Linked DNA regions of Saccharomyces cerevisiae S288C. The gene in region 1 interacts genetically with each later gene. Each region holds a gene or a part of one and is shown in the gene's direction. Other genes may lie near its edges.

The links. A genetic interaction does not mean that the proteins touch.
Region 2: mutations in GIM4 (region 1) and UBC7 together harm fitness more than expected from each alone (negative genetic interaction), as found in Saccharomyces cerevisiae (6 studies listed by BioGRID).
Region 3: mutations in GIM4 (region 1) and KIP2 together harm fitness more than expected from each alone (negative genetic interaction), as found in Saccharomyces cerevisiae (6 studies listed by BioGRID, with this or other methods).

The regions. Positions count from the first base shown.
Region 1 is NC_001137.3:146,627-149,099, forward strand, and holds GIM4 (tubulin-binding prefolding complex subunit GIM4), read left to right. Parts: upstream 1-1,549; coding exon 1,550-1,568; intron 1,569-1,656; coding exon 1,657-1,973; downstream 1,974-2,473. Other genes in the region: VAB2 (Vab2p), read right to left, coding at 1-129; YEA4 (Yea4p), read left to right, coding at 325-1,353; WBP1 (dolichyl-diphosphooligosaccharide-protein glycotransferase), read right to left, coding at 2,096-2,473. UniProt on the Saccharomyces cerevisiae protein: Binds specifically to cytosolic chaperonin (c-CPN) and transfers target proteins to it. Binds to nascent polypeptide chain and promotes folding in an environment in which there are many competing pathways for nonnative proteins.
Region 2 is NC_001145.3:316,784-319,677, forward strand, and holds UBC7 (E2 ubiquitin-conjugating protein UBC7), read left to right. Parts: upstream 1-1,896; coding exon 1,897-2,394; downstream 2,395-2,894. Other genes in the region: FMS1 (polyamine oxidase), read left to right, coding at 1-120; MAC1 (Mac1p), read right to left, coding at 382-1,635; MSS1 (Mss1p), read right to left, coding at 2,654-2,894.
Region 3 is NC_001148.4:256,716-261,185, reverse strand, and holds KIP2 (Kip2p), read left to right. Parts: upstream 1-1,849; coding exon 1,850-3,970; downstream 3,971-4,470. Other genes in the region: PEP4 (proteinase A), read left to right, coding at 255-1,472; pheromone-regulated protein PRM4, read left to right, coding at 4,419-4,470. UniProt on the Saccharomyces cerevisiae protein: Required for assembly of the mitotic spindle.

The DNA.
Region 1 (2,473 bases):
TGTTAATTTTTTATGGGATGCAAGGGGAGGTAAGCCCTTTAACTCTTCGTAATAGGAACTGCTTCCAACGGCATCAAATTCTATTCTTGATTTCCATTTCAGTATACCTTTAGTTAAGTCTGCTACCATGCTAGGCACTCTCTGCCTTTCTTATGGTTTGGTTACGCATACTCTTCCTTTATATATTCATTGTCATATTTTAAGGAAGCAATCGCTCCCGACGCAAAGTAAAAATATTCAGTGCTTTGCACTCCAGTTAGAAAAAATGAAGAGAATTCAATTGAGAATAAGCAGGGAAGTAATTGGATTGGGAGAATCTAAAAAATGTGGAACTCACTAAAAGCATTCGCTCTAGTGTTCGGAGGTTGTTGCTCCAATGTTATTACATTTGAAACCTTAATGAGCAACGAAACAGGCAGCATTAATAATCTCATTACTTTTTGTCAATTTTTATTTGTTACATGTCAGGGACTCCCCGAATTTCTGGATGTTCATCAACCTTTCCCTTACTTCAAGCCTCTGAAAACTCCACTTCACGTTTATGTCATTACTGTCGTTTTATTTTATATTTCATCTACGACGAATAATAACGTATTTAAATACAACATATCCATTCCGATTCATATCGTTTTCAGATGCTTCGGAACCGTAATAACCATGTTTACATGCTGGTTATTAAATGGTAGGAAATATACAAAGATTCAGATTTTATCAACACTATTTTTAACCATTGGAGCTATAATTGCCTCATTATTCAAAGATGCTGATTTTCGGTACCAAGATTTGAAACTGCAAGCGTGGAAAATTGGAAGTGACCAATCTGTAGATCTCACTTTTATTTTTGGCATTTGTATACTAGTACTTTCATCATTCACATCATCTTTACTTTCAGCATACAATGAACGTACGTATCAAAAATATGGAAAGCATTGGAAGGAGAATATCTTTTACAGTCATTTTTTATCATTACCTCTCTTTCTATTTAGTCGAAAGCAGTTAATTCACGAATATCGAGTGATGAGAAAGTCTGAAAGAATATTGTGTTCAAATTTTGGAGGGAAGATTCTAGTCCCGCGAGAAGAAACTCTCCTTCTTTTCAATGTGTTAACACAATATTTTTGCGTCAAGGGTGTTAATATCCTCGCCAGTAAAACAAACGCTCTGACACTTTCCATAACATTACTTGTAAGAAAATTTATAAGTCTTTTACTGAGCGTCCGACTTTTCGATAATAACTTGTCATATACTGGCTACATCGGGGTCTACCTAGTCTTTTTTGGTGCCTTTATATACTCGCTGGGATCAATTCACCCCAGGCAAAATGACAAGGGGGCGATAAAGAAAAGTAAATGAACACACATTATAAACTAACCTTAAATCCTACTTGTATGTTCCTTAACTCTATATTAGTGGTGTTGACGTAAGTTTAGATAAAATCGCGAACGCTGCCGCCTGGAAGTAAATGAAAAAAAAAAAAAAAAGAATTCATCACCTAAACTCACTAATCTTTAAAACTCATTCATGAGAAGTGGAGAACTATATTACAGCTATGGAACAAAGGAACAACGGTATGCAAAATTTCGATCTCTGGGTTTTAATAAATGCATGTAGCCAATTTTATCTTACTAACAATCTTTGTGTTTTCTCTGTGTATAGTCTTTCAAGCAAAATATAATGAATACAAACAAATTTTGGAAGAATTGCAAACAAAAATCATAGAATTAGGTCATGACAAAGATGAACACACTATAGTCATAAAAACACTGAAAGACGCTGAGCCGACGAGAAAATGTTACAGGATGATAGGTGGCGCACTTGTTGAAAGTGATGTTCAAACGAGTTTGCCTATTCTTGAAACTAAGAAGGAAAACATAGAAGGTACAATAAGTAAAATGAAAGAAACCTTAATACAAACTGCAAAAGAGTTTGAAAAATGGAAAAAAGACAATAAGATTCAAGTCGTTAAAAACTAAACCATATATAAAATCTATTGCAGTACTTAGTTTGGCAAAAAATATAAATAAACACAATCAGGTACTCTTATGTATTTATGTGAGCCATTTATAAAGAATTATAAAGGATATGAAAACATATATTAGTTTGTTTTTTTGAATGTTTCAAGTTTCTTGCCAACAGAGGAAGTCGTAACGAAAGAAACAACAAAAAATATCCACGCAACAATGACGCCACAAATGGCGCTAATATAAACCCAAGAATTGCTGATTTCCCAACTTCTTGGGTATTCATCATTAGCAAGGTGACGGATAGCTTTAACGTCTTTGTCAGTAGTGAACGACAGGCCAATCTTACGATAGTCAGTGAGGAATGTAAACACTCCATGGCGGTCTGGAAGGATGAATTCACCGGTGGTGTAATACTGAGTTTCAGAATCGTTTCCGCTTGGCGACAATGTTAGACGGTAGTACGGATCCACTTGTCTTAGTTCAAATTGGATATCATCAGCGATATGTGG
Region 2 (2,894 bases), on another chromosome or scaffold:
CAAGACTCCCGCATAAGATTTGCAGGCGAACATACTATCATGGACGGCGCCGGCTGTGCCTATGGTGCTTGGGAAAGCGGAAGACGGGAGGCGACTCGAATCTCTGACTTACTGAAATAGAATCTATTTTTTCGAAATTACTTACACTTTTGACGGCTAGAAAAGGATATACATACATATTAAAATTTTTAGTAACACTCTGTGCTTTTTCAAAAATTTGAGGTACACCTAATTCTCCCACTTGTTGCTTATACCAAGTTTGAACAATTTTAATGTTAAGCACAATAGATTGGAATATTATCATATGGTGGTTCAGAGAGTAGTAGGGTGCATTTTCATTCCTGTTGCCTCAATGTGTTTTCTATCTGTATTTACGTGATTTTATGAAGTGGTGGCATCGCTTAGATGTGGTGCATAATTAGAGACTAATTTTTGAAACCACGCATGAATGTCAAGTAATTCTAACTGAGCATCTGTCATCAATGGCACTTGCAACTTCAAAAAATCCCACCAATATTTTGACGGCACCAATTTACCTTTGAATTTTATTTGAGTTTTCCTTGTTAATCTTGCATTCAGAATTCCATAGAAAAAGAATTTTTCAAATGGAATTATATTTGTAGAGTGAGAAAAACATCCATCACAAGTGCAGTTATCCGGAGGACATATGCATTCCTTGTCAGTGCATTTACAATCATCCAAATAATCCATCATCTTATCAGTAATTTGAGCTTCACCAATATTGGTTAAAGGAACACCACTTTGTTGAATATAAGAATTCAGTTCCTCTTCGCTTCTATGGATTAGACAATTAACACATGGGCAGCTTTCATCTTCACAAGAGCACTGCGTGCTTAAAAAAATGCCCTTATGAGTCAGGACTTCAACTTTCGAAGCAACGTCGCTTGAATGAGGAGCAGCAATCGTTGTTGTACTTTGTGGGGTGAGTGTTTCTGAACTGTCATGCGCACCAGGAACAGAACTATTGTAGTTTTCTTGTAAAATATCGTTAAAAGCGGACGTAGATTCCAAGGAGCCGTATGGCGTAAATATGTCATCAGACGGTGCCTTGTTCGTCTTGCCATTAGAAGCTGGGTTCTGTGATTTATCTTTCTTACAGCAGTTTGAAAAATGTCGTATAGGCTCCTGTTGAAGCCGGCTTCGCTCTTTCTTCTCACTTGAAGAAGATGACTTGGTAGAGTCCGGAGATATTGTTCCTGTTGCCGGAGCTTTGGGAGAGTGTTTCCTAAGAAACTCCGTTTCGGTGATATATTTGTTACCATCATCGGTAAATGTGCTAATATCTTTAGGCTCATGAGCAGTGAAACCTTCCTCCATTAATATATGCAATTTTCCGTTTATCATTCTTGCCTTTCTAACAGCAGAGGCACGTACAAACAGTATTGGCTGTTGATTCATTGCGCTGCAGCAGTCACCTTCAATTTGTGCACCATTTTCGTATTCTGTACTTTGCGATGTAGAGTCTACTAAAATAGCGTCTCTGATAGCCATGGGTGAAGGTCTTCCTCTAGTTCTCACCTTAATTAGCATTCGGTGAGAATGCCTGCATGTTGAAGAGCGATGCCCTCTGATGCACGATGCACACGCATATTTGTTCCCATTAAATATTATCATCTCTGATAGAGCTTGAAGAACTTACCAGACTGTTTCAAGTTTAAAACAAGGCGCCTCATCGCATCTACCTCACGAAGATGCAGCAGCTTATTGTCTCGAGATCCTTCTTATAACTCCTTTTCGCCATTACCCGAAAACGAGATTACAGCCTCTAAACCAAGAGCTCGAAAAGCGCCAAAGTAAACTCTGGCGTTTAGCGTACGAAGGAGATTATCCTAAAAGGAACTTCCCTAGTAATAGTGTAATTTGGAAGGGCATAGCATGTCGAAAACCGCTCAGAAACGTCTCCTCAAGGAGCTTCAACAGTTAATTAAAGATTCTCCACCTGGTATAGTGGCTGGTCCCAAATCGGAGAATAACATATTCATTTGGGACTGCCTAATTCAAGGGCCTCCAGATACGCCATACGCTGATGGTGTTTTTAATGCTAAGCTAGAGTTTCCTAAAGACTATCCGTTATCTCCACCTAAACTTACTTTCACACCCAGCATACTACATCCAAATATTTATCCAAATGGGGAAGTGTGCATATCCATTCTACACTCCCCTGGTGATGATCCTAACATGTACGAATTAGCGGAAGAAAGATGGTCGCCAGTGCAAAGTGTAGAAAAAATTCTATTAAGTGTTATGAGCATGTTGAGTGAGCCCAATATCGAAAGTGGTGCCAACATTGATGCTTGCATCTTGTGGAGAGATAATAGACCTGAATTTGAGAGACAGGTAAAGTTATCCATTTTGAAATCATTAGGATTCTGAAAGCAGGTAGCAGGTTAATGATCATTTGGTCTTCCTTTTAACTGTTCTCTATATACATAAATAAGCATATCTACCATCTAAAAGAAAGCAAATGTCACATAATAAATATGTTAAAATCTCAATGTCTTCCTGGCTTTTCAGGAATTCAAACCATTTCCATTTCGTTGGTGTATAATCAGGGGCCCCTCTACTCTCACCTCTCTGTACCGAAGCGTTAATCAATTTTCTTTTATTTATATACACGATGATTGTAACTAGGTTATTTTCCTATACAAAATTTGCTGAACACTGAATCTAAGATTTCCTCAATACCAATAGCTTGTCCTGTTATCTTAGCTATTCCATCGGATGCATACCTCAAATTTTCTGTGGCCAATACTATATCATTATGGAAATCTTTGGATTTGAAAAACTCTTCCAAGCCGTACAGTACGTCGTTTTTGAGAATCTCTGACACTCTTTTGGAAACAATGACAGGACTTGCATCGGCACTTGATTGA
Region 3 (4,470 bases), on another chromosome or scaffold:
TGGGTAATTCGCTGCTATTTATTCATTCCACCTTCTTCTTTTTTGAGCGAAGCCTTTATAATCAAATTTTAGTGGTCTTTTCTATTTTTATTTGAGAAGCCTACCACGTAAGGGAAGAATAACAAAAAGTATATCTCACCCTACTGTATTCATAAAAAGTTTTTTCTATTAGAATTCTATAAGAAAAGAAAAAAAAAAAGCCTAGTGACCTAGTATTTAATCCAAATAAAATTCAAACAAAAACCAAAACTAACATGTTCAGCTTGAAAGCATTATTGCCATTGGCCTTGTTGTTGGTCAGCGCCAACCAAGTTGCTGCAAAAGTCCACAAGGCTAAAATTTATAAACACGAGTTGTCCGATGAGATGAAAGAAGTCACTTTCGAGCAACATTTAGCTCATTTAGGCCAAAAGTACTTGACTCAATTTGAGAAAGCTAACCCCGAAGTTGTTTTTTCTAGGGAGCATCCTTTCTTCACTGAAGGTGGTCACGATGTTCCATTGACAAATTACTTGAACGCACAATATTACACTGACATTACTTTGGGTACTCCACCTCAAAACTTCAAGGTTATTTTGGATACTGGTTCTTCAAACCTTTGGGTTCCAAGTAACGAATGTGGTTCCTTGGCTTGTTTCCTACATTCTAAATACGATCATGAAGCTTCATCAAGCTACAAAGCTAATGGTACTGAATTTGCCATTCAATATGGTACTGGTTCTTTGGAAGGTTACATTTCTCAAGACACTTTGTCCATCGGGGATTTGACCATTCCAAAACAAGACTTCGCTGAGGCTACCAGCGAGCCGGGCTTAACATTTGCATTTGGCAAGTTCGATGGTATTTTGGGTTTGGGTTACGATACCATTTCTGTTGATAAGGTGGTCCCTCCATTTTACAACGCCATTCAACAAGATTTGTTGGACGAAAAGAGATTTGCCTTTTATTTGGGAGACACTTCAAAGGATACTGAAAATGGCGGTGAAGCCACCTTTGGTGGTATTGACGAGTCTAAGTTCAAGGGCGATATCACTTGGTTACCTGTTCGTCGTAAGGCTTACTGGGAAGTCAAGTTTGAAGGTATCGGTTTAGGCGACGAGTACGCCGAATTGGAGAGCCATGGTGCCGCCATCGATACTGGTACTTCTTTGATTACCTTGCCATCAGGATTAGCTGAAATGATTAATGCTGAAATTGGGGCCAAGAAGGGTTGGACCGGTCAATATACTCTAGACTGTAACACCAGAGACAATCTACCTGATCTAATTTTCAACTTCAATGGCTACAACTTCACTATTGGGCCATACGATTACACGCTTGAAGTTTCAGGCTCCTGTATCTCTGCAATTACACCAATGGATTTCCCAGAACCTGTTGGCCCACTGGCCATCGTTGGTGATGCCTTCTTGCGTAAATACTATTCTATTTACGATTTGGGCAACAATGCGGTTGGTTTGGCCAAAGCAATTTGAGCTAAACTTTTCTTACTTCTCCGCCCTATCCTTTTCTGCCATCTAGAGAGCTTTTATAAGTAGATAACAATAAAAAAAACTATAGTATATTTAAAAAAAAAAAACAAGACAAACCATCTTGTCCTCAGTTTTAGAATCCATTGTTCTATGCTGCTGCCCATAATGTCATTATATGCGGGTAGCCCGATGATGCGGCTCGAGAATTTCCTTGTTTATCCTTTTCCAATAGCGGAACAATTGATAATAAAGCAATGTAAGCAGAAGCGAAAAATAAAAAGAAATAGGCTGCAGAGATTCACAGGCTGCGCTCTAGAAACATTTGAAATCAAGGCAAACATAGAACACTTGATAAAATTCTTACCATAATACCACCATTGATGATTCAAAAAATGAGCCCAAGCTTAAGGAGGCCATCAACGAGGTCTAGTTCTGGTTCAAGTAATATCCCACAATCGCCCTCTGTACGATCAACTTCATCGTTTTCTAATCTGACAAGAAACTCCATACGGAGCACCTCTAATTCGGGTTCTCAGTCGATTTCTGCATCTTCCACTAGAAGTAACTCCCCACTAAGATCCGTATCAGCCAAATCCGATCCCTTCCTTCACCCAGGTAGGATAAGGATCAGGCGGAGCGACAGTATTAACAACAACTCGAGAAAAAACGATACATATACTGGGTCAATCACTGTGACCATCCGGCCGAAACCACGGAGCGTTGGAACTTCCCGTGACCATGTGGGGCTAAAATCGCCCAGGTACTCTCAACCAAGATCCAACTCACATCACGGTAGCAATACATTTGTTAGAGACCCCTGGTTTATTACTAATGACAAAACAATAGTGCATGAAGAAATTGGAGAGTTCAAGTTCGATCATGTTTTTGCTTCCCATTGCACTAATTTGGAAGTTTATGAAAGAACCAGTAAACCAATGATTGATAAGTTATTGATGGGGTTTAATGCCACCATATTTGCGTACGGTATGACCGGGTCAGGTAAAACGTTTACAATGAGCGGAAATGAACAAGAGCTAGGCCTAATTCCTTTATCTGTGTCGTATTTATTTACCAATATCATGGAACAATCAATGAATGGCGATAAAAAGTTCGACGTTATAATATCGTACCTCGAAATTTACAATGAAAGGATTTACGACCTGTTAGAAAGCGGATTAGAAGAATCCGGTAGTAGAATCAGTACTCCTTCAAGGTTATATATGAGCAAGAGCAACAGCAATGGATTGGGCGTAGAATTAAAAATCAGAGATGACTCTCAGTATGGGGTCAAAGTTATCGGTCTCACCGAAAGAAGATGTGAAAGTAGTGAAGAATTATTGAGGTGGATTGCAGTTGGTGACAAAAGTAGGAAAATTGGCGAAACTGACTACAATGCAAGAAGCTCACGATCTCATGCCATTGTACTGATTCGTTTAACAAGTACTAACGTAAAGAACGGCACCTCAAGATCGAGTACATTGTCGTTGTGTGACCTAGCAGGTTCGGAAAGGGCTACGGGGCAACAAGAGAGGAGAAAGGAAGGTTCATTCATCAACAAATCCTTACTTGCTTTGGGGACTGTGATATCCAAACTCAGTGCCGACAAGATGAACTCAGTAGGCTCAAACATTCCCTCGCCATCTGCAAGTGGCAGTAGCAGCAGTAGTGGAAATGCTACCAATAACGGCACTAGCCCAAGCAACCACATTCCATATCGTGATTCTAAATTGACTAGATTATTGCAGCCGGCACTAAGCGGTGACAGCATAGTGACAACGATATGTACAGTCGACACCAGAAATGATGCGGCAGCGGAAACTATGAATACGCTGAGGTTTGCATCAAGAGCGAAAAACGTCGCACTTCATGTATCCAAAAAATCCATCATCAGTAACGGGAATAACGATGGAGATAAAGATCGCACCATTGAGCTACTGAGACGCCAATTGGAAGAACAACGTAGGATGATCTCTGAATTGAAGAACCGTTCAAACATTGGCGAGCCCTTAACCAAATCTTCCAATGAAAGTACTTATAAAGACATTAAAGCCACCGGCAATGATGGTGATCCGAATTTGGCTCTAATGAGAGCGGAGAATCGAGTATTAAAATATAAACTAGAGAATTGTGAAAAACTACTAGATAAAGATGTGGTTGATTTGCAAGATTCTGAGATTATGGAAATTGTAGAAATGCTTCCCTTTGAGGTCGGCACCCTTTTGGAAACAAAGTTCCAAGGTTTGGAATCACAAATAAGGCAATATAGGAAATACACTCAAAAACTTGAAGACAAGATCATGGCGCTAGAAAAAAGTGGTCATACTGCAATGTCGCTAACTGGGTGTGACGGCACTGAAGTGATCGAATTACAGAAGATGCTCGAGAGGAAGGATAAAATGATTGAGGCCCTGCAGAGTGCCAAACGACTGCGGGATAGGGCTTTGAAACCACTCATTAATACACAGCAATCACCGCACCCTGTCGTGGATAACGATAAATGATTAGGTGAGGGTCCCAGATCTCGGGTGCTTTTTTCCTTGTGCGGATTGTTCTGTAGACTGCGCCTCCGCTTGCCCGGCGCTTGCCTTGAACGGGATCTATTCTCAGAAGACAGCGCATAAAAGGCAGTTTTTAGGCACTTCTCGTTAAGAAAATACACAAATAATGGATTTACGAAGTTCGTTTCAGTGTGGTACCAAAAAATTTGGCATCAGCTAATAAAGATCAAGAAGTTTTGGGGTTGTTTCGAGTCTGTCTCGGCCTTAATTGTGCAGGTACTAAAGGGATTAATATATAAAGATTGTTAAGGCCAAGTGACTGAAACTTGCAAACGTCTTTGAATCAGGCTTATCTCTTAAATACTTATATATATGTTCTTTTATAGACTTCATAATCTCTTGTTCCAAGAACAGTAAAGAGCAATTAAAAAAAGGAAAATAACAGTTAAAGATGATAGCGGATTCATCAGTTTTGAAAAAGCACACAGCAATCAAGAGAAGTA